Linked DNA regions of Xenopus tropicalis. The protein of the gene in region 1 interacts with the protein of each later gene in a pairwise test. Links are inferred from orthologs where the notes say so. Each region holds a gene or a part of one and is shown in the gene's direction. Other genes may lie near its edges.

Region 1 (3,659 bases):
TGATTTCTTTATACTTCCTGCACAAGACCTATTATTGTTATTATTAAAGGAGAAGGAAAGGTTTAGTCATTGGTGGGTGCCCCCCAGTGATTGTATCATCATTACCTGATACCCTGGGCCGGTGCTCCTGTTAGCAGAAAACTGAACCAGACTGGGGAGCGAGCAATCCTCTTCCTTTCGTCTTCTTGCTTGGAGGAGTGGAAAAGCTAGCTAGCGCAAAGAAAGGAGGAGGAAGAGGATTCCTCCATGATGCTTGCTGGTGGAACTCCGAGTCGGTCCGCTTTCTGCTAACAGGAACACCGGCCGGGGTATCAGGTAAGTGTTTACACACACAGAGGGCTTCTTAACATTCAGTAACATCAGTATAATAATAGCTCAACAATATATCTTTCCAAGCAGATTTAACCACGGGCAAAAAATCTTACCATGTGCCATTGCCCTAATAGTGATACAATCACTTCACACTTATCCATAATAGTTATTGGGGGTCACCCGGACACAGTAGATAAAGTGTAAAGCATACACGTCCCTTGTAAATTGGTGAGATACCGTCTCAAGCTTAATAGAGTAATATTGGCCAGTTAGTAATTGTCAGCTAAACTCACCAATTAGGAAAGTTGGTCCAGGTACCTTAAGCCGTGAACCTGTATCCTCAGGCGGTAGAAGAAACATTCAACCTAAATTGCTTTCGCACACCAATTGACCACAAAAGATGTTTGTTAAAACATGACTTTATTCCATCCATCTAAAAGGTATGCCTGATGAGTTTCATAAGCAACCACACCTAATAATAGGCAAGCCTCCTTTAACCTTAGAACTTGTCTTTGCGTGTGCCATATTCTGTATTATAGTGATATTAAAAAGTCACCAAGGAGTTCCATTAACATATAAAGACACAAAGGCAAAGCTTAAGTATATTTCATCTTTTACAAGGTGACATGATATCCTCATATTTTAAAACAAAGGGTGCAATATTTGTTACAATACACAAGTTTCAGTTGATAATATATACCCGTTATCCAGAAAGCTCCAATTAGAGGAGGCCCATCTCCCATAGACTCCATTGTAATCATTACATTTTTTTATTTTTTTTATTTCAGTGCCTTGTAATTGATCACACCTAAGATATAATTAAGCCTTACTGGAGGCAAAACAATCCTATTGGGTTTAATTAATAGTTAAATGATTCTTTTGGAGACTCAAGGTATGGTGATTCAAACTACAGAAAGATACAGGTTATCCTGCACTGTGATTGAAATAAAATATTACATTTAATAATTCTATGACTTATTCTGAAATCTTTTTCTAAAGGCTGCGGAGACCGCCAGCCTTGAAGAGCATTTTCAAGGATGGGGTGAAGTGATTCTGGTGACCGATCGTGTTCTTCGTTGGGAGAAGCCATGGTTCCCAGCAGCTATAATGGGAGCTGTTTCTTTTCTATTTCTGTAAGTAATAGGTTTGAACATATTCTTAAAGTAAATATTTTGGCTTCATGTCTGTAATGATTTTTGACTTACCATAAGTAGTTTTAGTAGTGTAGAAATATTCTTCCAGCAGAAATGTGTTATTTAATAATAATCCAAATTGCTACTCTACTGTACTGATTCTTTTGGACAGCACAGCAGTCACAATATAATATCAATACAGAGAGGGGTACACATACAACTTATACTGCTATTGGTGCTTTATGCAGATTATAGTGCTATTGGTGCTTTATGCAGTTTATACTGCTATTGGTGCTTTATGCAGTTTATACTGCTATTGGTGCTTTATGCAGTTTATACTGCTATTGGTGCTTTATGCAGTTTATACTGCTATTGGTGCTTTATGCAGTTTATACTGCTATTGGTGCTTTATGCAGTTTATACTGCTATTGGTGCTTTATGCAGCTGACATGTTTTCAGTTGCTGTAGCCCCTTATCCAAGCATTTAATGCTCCTCTTTGTGTGGATATTATAGTATGGATTTTGCACTGGTGGAGCCAAGGGAGAGGGAGCACCAATACTGTTAAGCTTGTCTACAGCTGAGGACCAATTTAGTGTTTAAACCATCACTGTCACTTTCCATCCATTTTAAATGGGTGAATGCGTAAGCAGTTGGGGCTTTTCAGCTGGAAATACTTAAGGGTCAGGGAAATATTTATTAACCAGGGAAGCCAAAATATTAGGTACCCTCCAGTGTATTATATAGCTAAACCTGGCCATACACTGCCAATTCCACTCATTTGGCAAGGCCCCCAAACAAGAGGATCCAAATCAGGCTGATCCCAAGATCAGATCATACCCTGAGACCTACAAAGGCCCACTGAATAAGGACTGCATTAAAATGCTTGTGTGCTCGTCTAATGGGATTTTTAAACCTGCCTGATTAAGTTGGCTAGATATTGCCCCATAACTTAAGCCAATAAGCTGCTAACTCAGTCTGAAGTTTCTTTTTGGAAAAAAATGCACCAGGAAAAAACAGTGCAGTGCCACCGTTTTATTTACATTGCAAGGGTCCCTAGCTTGGGCTTGTACGTGTGCAGTAAAGTAACATTTTTCATTTTCACTTTACTGCCCATGAGCAAGTCGGATCTACTGACTCTTGGGAAAGGTAAGTAAATGGTGGCATTTTGTGTTTTTTCAGTCTTCCAGCTGTTATATTTTCCCATGCAACTTTGTATATGTACTTCAACTTGTCATTTTTTGGCAGAGCACTGTGTGCCCATTTCTCCTTAGGTGAAAAAGAGTAATTGGGTGACATCTGTACTTTTAATAAAATAATTTTGATTTGGGGTACATAGAGTAATCATGGTCTTAAATCTTAATTTTTCACAGGATGATCTATTACTTGGATCCGTCTGTCCTCTCTGGTATATCCTGCTTTGTCATGTGCCTGTGTTTGGCTGATTATCTTGTTCCAACACTTGCTCCCAGGATTTTTGGCTCAAACAAATGGTCAGTAAGAATGCATATATTTATACTTTATTTGATTCATTGACACTAGTATCTTGTGCATCTTGTCTGCATTTTATTTATAAGGTGTATTGCAAGTTAGCATTTAATTCTTCCAGCGCATATATCATTAGCCAGAGGACAAGCATCAGAAGCAGAAATTATGTTACAAGGCTGATTATTTATTCATTTCTGATGCAGAATAACTGGTGTCTATGTTGCCATTTAATGTGAATTAAGTACCAAGTAGCCTTGTAATGTGAATTCTGTGTATACTGTGTGTCAGTGCACAAGCTCAGTTAACTGCTAGTAGCCCAGCATGCTTCCATGATTTGAAGATGGAGACCTGCTGGGGCATCTTAAGGCACAGCTTATCACTGGAAAAATGGATTTTGTGGCACTAGGCTGAAACAAAAACCCCATAACATAAGATATAGTATGTCTAGACTAATTTTGTCTTTGAACTTTAGTTCTCCTTGAAGATAAGGTCTTCATGAGTGTGGCACCAGACTGTTCCTCTCCCCTTTGTGTTCTTTCAACCTAAAATGACAGAACTGTTGGCAAGTATAGAAGCACTAAATAGTATAAAGTAAAATTTGAGGAGGATATATTCAATGGGCTTCCAGTCTGTTAGGAATAGGAATGTGCATTTGTAACATGTTGTGTCAGTTAGACCCAATAACACATTCCAGGTTGTCAGAGGCGTCTGATATCCATTTAAAACCC
Region 2 (4,173 bases), on another chromosome or scaffold:
CAGTTACCCAATGTTTGAAAAGCCAAATGGTATAAAGGATGGCACATACAGGCAAAAACTAGGGTTACCACCAGCTCTGCAAATAAATTTTCCCACTGTTATTAATACTCATTTCCCCCACACTGCCTTGCAGGTCACAATTAACACCCCGTGTGTGAGCGCTGTATGGCTTCCATCTGGTCCACCAGATACAATTGCAGTTTAGGGATGCACTGATTCTGTAAATAACAAATCTTCCACAAAACGTTTGGACAACTGAACATTATATTTTAACAGATTCAGAACAGTATTTGGGCAAAGTCACAACCTCAGTGGTTCATGTGACCTTGCAAAAACAAACTGGATTCAGTGCATCCCTCATGGCAAATAAATTAAATATTAAATCATTTTTTACGTATATTCATCACAAACTTTCAGTTGCCTTAAAGTTATCTGCAAATGTAAGTGGCACTGAAAGCAGTATTTGCTCTGCTCTTTCTGACTCCTGAAACAGTGTAGTAAGTCAACTGGCTTCTGCTACATAGTTTCAGAACCAGGTCAGGCAGATGCTGCTTTAATAGCAGTTACATTTACAAATAACTTGAAACTACAGTGGAGAGCCCAAATAAATTCTCTAATCATAGCCAGGCTGCCCCTCTCCCACCAACCACTGCTTTGGCGCCCCAAACCCACAGTTTTACACTCAAGCACTAAACCCATCTCCTGTGCGATATCTGCTATTAAACTGCACTTCCCATAATGCCATGCCAGCCTGCCATAGTTACACTGGAAAATAAGGTGCTACTATAGTTACGATAAGTAAGCTACTGAGAGTAAAGAACGTTCCCTACCTGCCAATTTTTAGTCTACAGAACCCCTAGTATTGCGCTTTCAGGCTCTTACCCACATACGATGTACCTGCCGTAGGGTAACTCCCAAACAGATTCCAAGCTGAGCGACTGCTGCTAATTTAAACAGCCCTCCCTATTCACTATTGGTTTTGAAGGGAGGCGTTACGGAACGCTTAGAACCAATTGCAAAGCTGACAGAAGAATTTAGCCAATGAAAAAAGAGAGGAGCCTGGATGTCGTCCAATGAGGTATTCCGGAAGGGGACGGAACCGGCGCCTTCAGCTGACCGGAGATTGTCAGGTCGTATAGAAGGCTTCAAACCTTTAGCACAGCGCATGCGCAGTGCAGAGGGACTGTTCGTCCCCCTGACAACGCAAGAGGTTCGGCGCATGCGTGATAGGTTCTCCGGGCCGGGTGTGTCGGTCCCCGCAGTATTTCGGTCCTGGTTTCCGGTCACTATGTCGGACGCCACGGTAGCGGATACCCGGCGGCTAAACTCCAAGCCCCAGGACTTGACGGACGCCTACGGCCCTCCCAGCAACTTCCTAGAGATCGATATCTTTAACCCACAGACTGTGGGAGTCGGGCGCAACCGATACACAGTGTACGAGGTCCGCATGAGGGTGAGTGTTGCCTGGGCGCAGAAAAGCTTTATTATACTGAGTCAGGGAGGGCGATAAATGGGCAGTATACCCCCTGATTATATAAGTGGGCATTAAATAGTCACAGTGTGGAGATAGGGTGCAGCCTACGGGTCAGCGCTCAGGGAATCTCTGCTCTTTCAGCTGCACATTGAGCTTTACATTGGTATGCTGGCAGTCTGTTTCCTAAACACCAGCAACAAAAGAAAATCTACTTATAACGTTTTAAAACACTTCAGTTCAAACTAACCAGTAGTATTATTTATTGGAATTATTTGTTTGTAAATGTAGCTGCAGTTGAAAGCAGTATCTCTCTGCACCCTGGGTTCTGACTGTTCCTACAATGTAGCAGAAGTCAGTTGTTGTTCTGCCAAGGAAGGTCTGGTAATCAGCAGTGCAGAGAATGGCAAGGAATAGATGTGACACTGCTAAATGCATCTTTCTGTTTGAATATCTGGAATGGGGAGGGCACCATCGGTGAATTCCCAGTCACCAACCTTTACATATGACCCTTTGATTTAGATCATGGCGCTAAACATTGAAGCCCAGGGGGCAAATTGAACACCCAAGTCCTTTGTGACCACCATGCTAGAGAATTGTGACCAGATCATTTGGAGAATCAGAATGTAGCTACAGAATGTGATTTCAAACTGGTAAAGCGAAAACTTGTGATTTTTCAGATATTTTGGTCATCCTTACCTAATTTTTCTTTTCCCGCTGAACACTCAGGGTGAAGACACACTAGGCTACTAGTAGCAGCTACTTTTTCAAGGCTACTCAACTCCAGAAAATACCCTGCTATAGACAATACTGAGAATTGCCTCTGCTAAAACACACATAGAGATATTTATCAGTAAATGATCAGCATTGCCTTTTTTAGTAGCCACAAGTAGCTGCTACTAGTTGCTCCATGTGTCTTCACCCTTAGAATTTGACTAATTAATATGGACTTCATTTGGGCTTTTTACTGATAATGCTACCCCTTTGGCCTGTGTTTGACATAATCAGTATGAAGAGTGAACACTGTCAGACCCAGATTTGTGGGAAGGCCACAAAGGCTTGGGCTTAGGGCAGCTGAGATCTGGGGGTGGCATGGCGCCTGCTGTCCGCTTCTGCAGTAAGGACTGGGTGGGAGATTTTGACAGCTGATTAAATCTTCTGTCCATCCAGTCGTGCAATTGTGGGGAGTAGATGAGTAAGGTGTGAGCTGGAGGGGCAGGTTCAGGGGGTTTGTGAGAGGCCAAGGGGAGCTCCAGTTTTAAGTCTAGCCCTGAGCACTGTACTGTTTGCTCCTTAGGATGTCTTTGTGCCTCCCCACAGCCTGGCCTCTTGGATAAAGCGCTGCCTAATGCAAACAGCTCTCCATTCAGCTTAATGACCTGCAAATAAAGCTGGAAAGGAAGGGCTTGCACAGTAAAGGTGCCTTATACTGCCCATGTATGAAGCCTGTCTGCCTGACTGACTGATTTGGACAAAAATTGTCTAGATATCTATCTGCCAGGCATAAAAATCCTGTCAGGGCGAGGACTGCATCAGCTCATTAATGTGTTCCTTTCCCTGACAGCCTGCATAGTTTCATTTGTTGATACTGCCCAGCTCAATGTGGGTGTATCGGGGAAAGATCAGCAAACTGATTTTTAGGTGCATGGCCTACTTATCGCATTGTGCCTAAACTCCATTCTTTGACTTTCTCTATGCTGACACAGGCTGAGGGTCGTCGACTTTCCTCAGGTGCCGCTTTACCAGGAGTGGCCAAAAGCCACCAGTGTTTGTATTTTAGATCACTGCGCCTCTAGCTTTTTGCATTGGCCGATTATGTATTTCTGCAAGAGCTGTTAGTGTTGGTTGCCTCTTTCTGTGTTAGAATATTCTGTAACAAATAAATAAACAATATTGACTCCTGAGAGAGTTCTCTCATTACATAAAATGCATAAAGGAAGGAATGGGCCCCACTACATTAGGCATTGCAGTGAAAATGACAGTGAGTCACCAATGTTCCTTTTTAGCTGTTGCTGTAATATTAAAGAAAAATTAAGAATGTACCAGTGAATTATACTCCGCTAAATATAGAAGGATTGTGCTTTAAAAAAGTTGTGATTCTGACTGATTTATTGAGAAAATCCACCAAAACCCCACTAGTCCCGCCCATCTGTTCCACTTCCTGCTGGCTGAATTCTCTGGCTGTGCAGGGGGCGGCAGCTCTTAGAACATGGCACTCTAGGATAGGAACCAATCAGCAGCTAGGCTGACCTGATAGGGAACCGAAGTATTGTATACAAACTAATGTTCTATCTTTCTATAGCAAAAACACTCATGGATAGGCCCATAGATCTCTGCTATACAGAAATTGTATTTACTGTCATAAACAACATTTAAATAATGCAGTTATTGTAAAGCAGGCTTTAAATTTGTAGGTTGTAGGGACATTTGATGGTATAGGATTTGTGTTGGCTAGTCAAGGGGGACTGTCTATTGGCCTTTTTCCCACCTCCTTCCTGAGCAGAGCAACATCAGAAAATTTCTGTTTTCCATCTGAATGTATATCTCTCTGACTGTAAAGTTACAGGACCGGACCAGCTGGTAGTGTGGTTACAAAATTCATTAAAAATAATAATAATCAAAAAATAATGTAAATTGAAAGGTGCTTAGAATAGTTTTTTTTAAGGTTTACTTATCTTTTAAAGGATATCCTTAAAAGGAAA
Region 3 (2,658 bases), on another chromosome or scaffold:
GTCTCATGGATAACACATGTCACATCTGAATGAGAAATTGGCATTTTGGGATGAAATTGTTTATTTTTGGCACAGGTGGATGAGAGTGGTGAGGTGATTGTCCTGGCACAGGGTGGCTGCCCATGGAAGGAACACCTCTTCCAACTAGAGAAAGAGCTTGGTCTGGAAAAGCAAGTGAAATATGTACTGTATCCTGACCAGAGCGCAAAGTGGAGGGTGCAATGTGTCCCTACAGGCCCAAACACTTTCCTGAACCGGTAACAGTATTCAGCACACTTCTTGTTCACATGTTAATAGGGATCTTAAAAATAATTATAAAATATACTGTCCTGCCTGTTTTATAACTAAAATGCAACATCACGTTACGTTGAGACAGTGTGGTAGAAAGTATTTGGCTATTTTTTAAAACTCACGGGAGCACTTACAGATCCAGCAGTGTGTGTTCAAACGCACAGCCGGCACCCAGACGGCAAAATAATCTGTATCCAAAGAAACTATTTGATATCCCCTCTACCTATGGCCGATAGATGTTCCAAAATACGTTCACACGCTTTCCTGACTGTTTTACCTACATATTGAGCACCACATTTACATGTAATCAAATATATCACCTTTTGTGAGGTACAATTAAAATATTGTTTAATAACATATATTTTCCCAGTATATGTACTAGGTAGAGGGGATATCAAATCGGCTATAGCTAAACATTCCCTTGATAAACATGGAGGGAACATGGATTTTCATTTTCAGATTATAGATTCAGGTGGTTTTAATATAAAGAGAGGTGATTTTGAGAATAGATTGTTACGTAGAGAAGCATTTTGGATTTATCAGTTGGGTACTATAGAGTCATTGGGAGGTATGAATAGAGAGTGGGAATTAACCTGTTTCTATTGACTGATGGTTATTTGTATATGGGTATATATAGATATGTGCACACATATATAGGGGTAGTGTATATATGTACATTTACATATTTGTTGTATCTCTTTAACTGCCTGTGGCTGATGGATGTTAATAAGCTTTAAATAATAAGCTCCAGTGTTTTTTACTGGGTAGCATTGTTTTTAATAATGATATATGCACTATAAGGGTTAACAAGATGTGTGGGAGGAGTTTTGTTTACCTATAAAGGGTATTTTCTGAATGGATGTACCATGCAGCTTTTGAAAAAGTGGTGAGACACCACGAAACGCGTCAAGCGTATGGTCTTTTTCTGTATAAGCACAACATGTTTTTAAGGAGATGGAATAAAGAAATGATTTTTTAAACGGCAGTGTGGATGTTGCTCCGTACTTAGTTTCTTTGGATACAGAAAGTATTTGGCTAAACACATAAAATAAGCATAGCAGCAAAATGGAAACTTATTTTAACATACTATCATGGTTGTACTAATGCCCACCGCACATCTGGAGGGAAATAATGCAGCTCTAACTGTAACAGGGAGAAGTGTGGGAGTAAAAGACAGAACTTTGTCCATTCACTGGCTGATGAGACCTAACATGTATGTGTGCCCTTGGTTTGTTTGTGTGCACCCTGAATCCTATGATCCCACAAAACAGCCTTTAGTACTTAAAATGGCAATTTTCTATTTAGGATTGTTCAACTGCACATGCTACTAGAAAAGTGGATTTAAATGATTTATTTAGTTTGAAGCAGTGTTTTACATATGAGCTGTTATATGCATTATATTTTATAGAGGTATAGTTTCCCTTTAATTACTGATCTTCTTAACCCCACAGTCTGTCTCTCCCCGAGGATTGGCGCGGACTTCGCGCAGATGATCTCTCTTCTGTTAGCGGGATACCAGGCTGCATCTTTGTTCATGCCAGTGGATTTATTGGTGGAAATGAGACCCAAGTAGGAGCACTAGAAATGGCACGAAAAGCACTGAGATCCTAGGGCGCTTCCTCTAAAAATAGGACAAAACACAGCAACAACATCTCCTTGTATTTATATTGTGACATCAGTAAATATTTTTGTATACAAGTTTTTGTCAATCAGTATCTAATAAGTTGTATTTATTGGTGTTTTTTTTTTTTTTTGCTTTTGCTACTGAAACTTACAGGTTACATCAGAATTATGCAGCGATATAGACATGCGGAAATATTCTACAATAGGTTATTATAAAAATTCTATACACAGTGAAAGTTTCAACAAATAACACCAATAGTGTCATTCAAACCACATTGTACTTCATAATCACATAATCACCCATTGCCTAACCTACAGGTAGAGAATTGATCCGTATTTGCCACAATTACTTTGAGCACTGGGACTTCATTAAAGGAGAACTAAAGCTTAAGAAAGAAGTAGTTATGCTGAACATTTATGTTTTGGGCTTCTCTGCCAGTTCAAGGCAACTACCGCCCTTTAGCAGGGAAGATCTGTGCCCCCAAGATGCCCCCCCCATCTTTTCCGCTGATTCCCTACACATACGCTGTGCTGCTGTTACTTACCCGAGCTTAGGAACCCACTCAATTTACAGTATATATAGAATATAAATGTCACAATATATGGCTTATCAGAAAATTATGTCAGCCCAGAAACCAGTGTACTCTGCATAAGCTTATATTACAGGCCAGCATCATTTTCTGCTTGACAATTTGCAATGACCCCTAAGCTCAGCTTCTCAGGAGCTGCTCCGCACACTGAGCA

The links.
Region 2: the proteins of arl6ip1 (region 1) and snx12 interact in binary tests that used the Homo sapiens proteins (3 or more experiments, as listed by UniProt). The two-hybrid records come from large-scale screens. The link is inferred for Xenopus tropicalis from reciprocal best matches to the Homo sapiens genes ARL6IP1 and SNX12.
Region 3: the proteins of arl6ip1 (region 1) and c12orf10 interact in binary tests that used the Homo sapiens proteins (3 or more experiments, as listed by UniProt). The two-hybrid records come from large-scale screens. The link is inferred for Xenopus tropicalis from reciprocal best matches to the Homo sapiens genes ARL6IP1 and MYG1.

The regions. Positions count from the first base shown.
Region 1 is NC_030685.2:32,823,020-32,826,678, forward strand, and holds part of arl6ip1 (ADP-ribosylation factor-like protein 6-interacting protein 1), read left to right. Parts: intron 1-1,311; coding exon 1,312-1,445; intron 1,446-2,816; coding exon 2,817-2,936; intron 2,937-3,659. UniProt on the Homo sapiens protein: Positively regulates SLC1A1/EAAC1-mediated glutamate transport by increasing its affinity for glutamate in a PKC activity-dependent manner.
Region 2 is NC_030684.2:44,619,323-44,623,495, reverse strand, and holds the start of snx12 (sorting nexin-12), read left to right. Parts: upstream 1-1,252; 5' UTR 1,253-1,288; coding exon 1,289-1,453; intron 1,454-4,173. UniProt on the Homo sapiens protein: May be involved in several stages of intracellular trafficking.
Region 3 is NC_030678.2:147,125,342-147,127,999, reverse strand, and holds the end of c12orf10 (UPF0160 protein MYG1, mitochondrial), read left to right. Parts: intron 1-75; coding exon 76-257; intron 258-1,742; coding exon 1,743-1,902; 3' UTR 1,903-2,000; downstream 2,001-2,658. UniProt on the Homo sapiens protein: 3'-5' RNA exonuclease which cleaves in situ on specific transcripts in both nucleus and mitochondrion. Involved in regulating spatially segregated organellar RNA processing, acts as a coordinator of nucleo-mitochondrial crosstalk.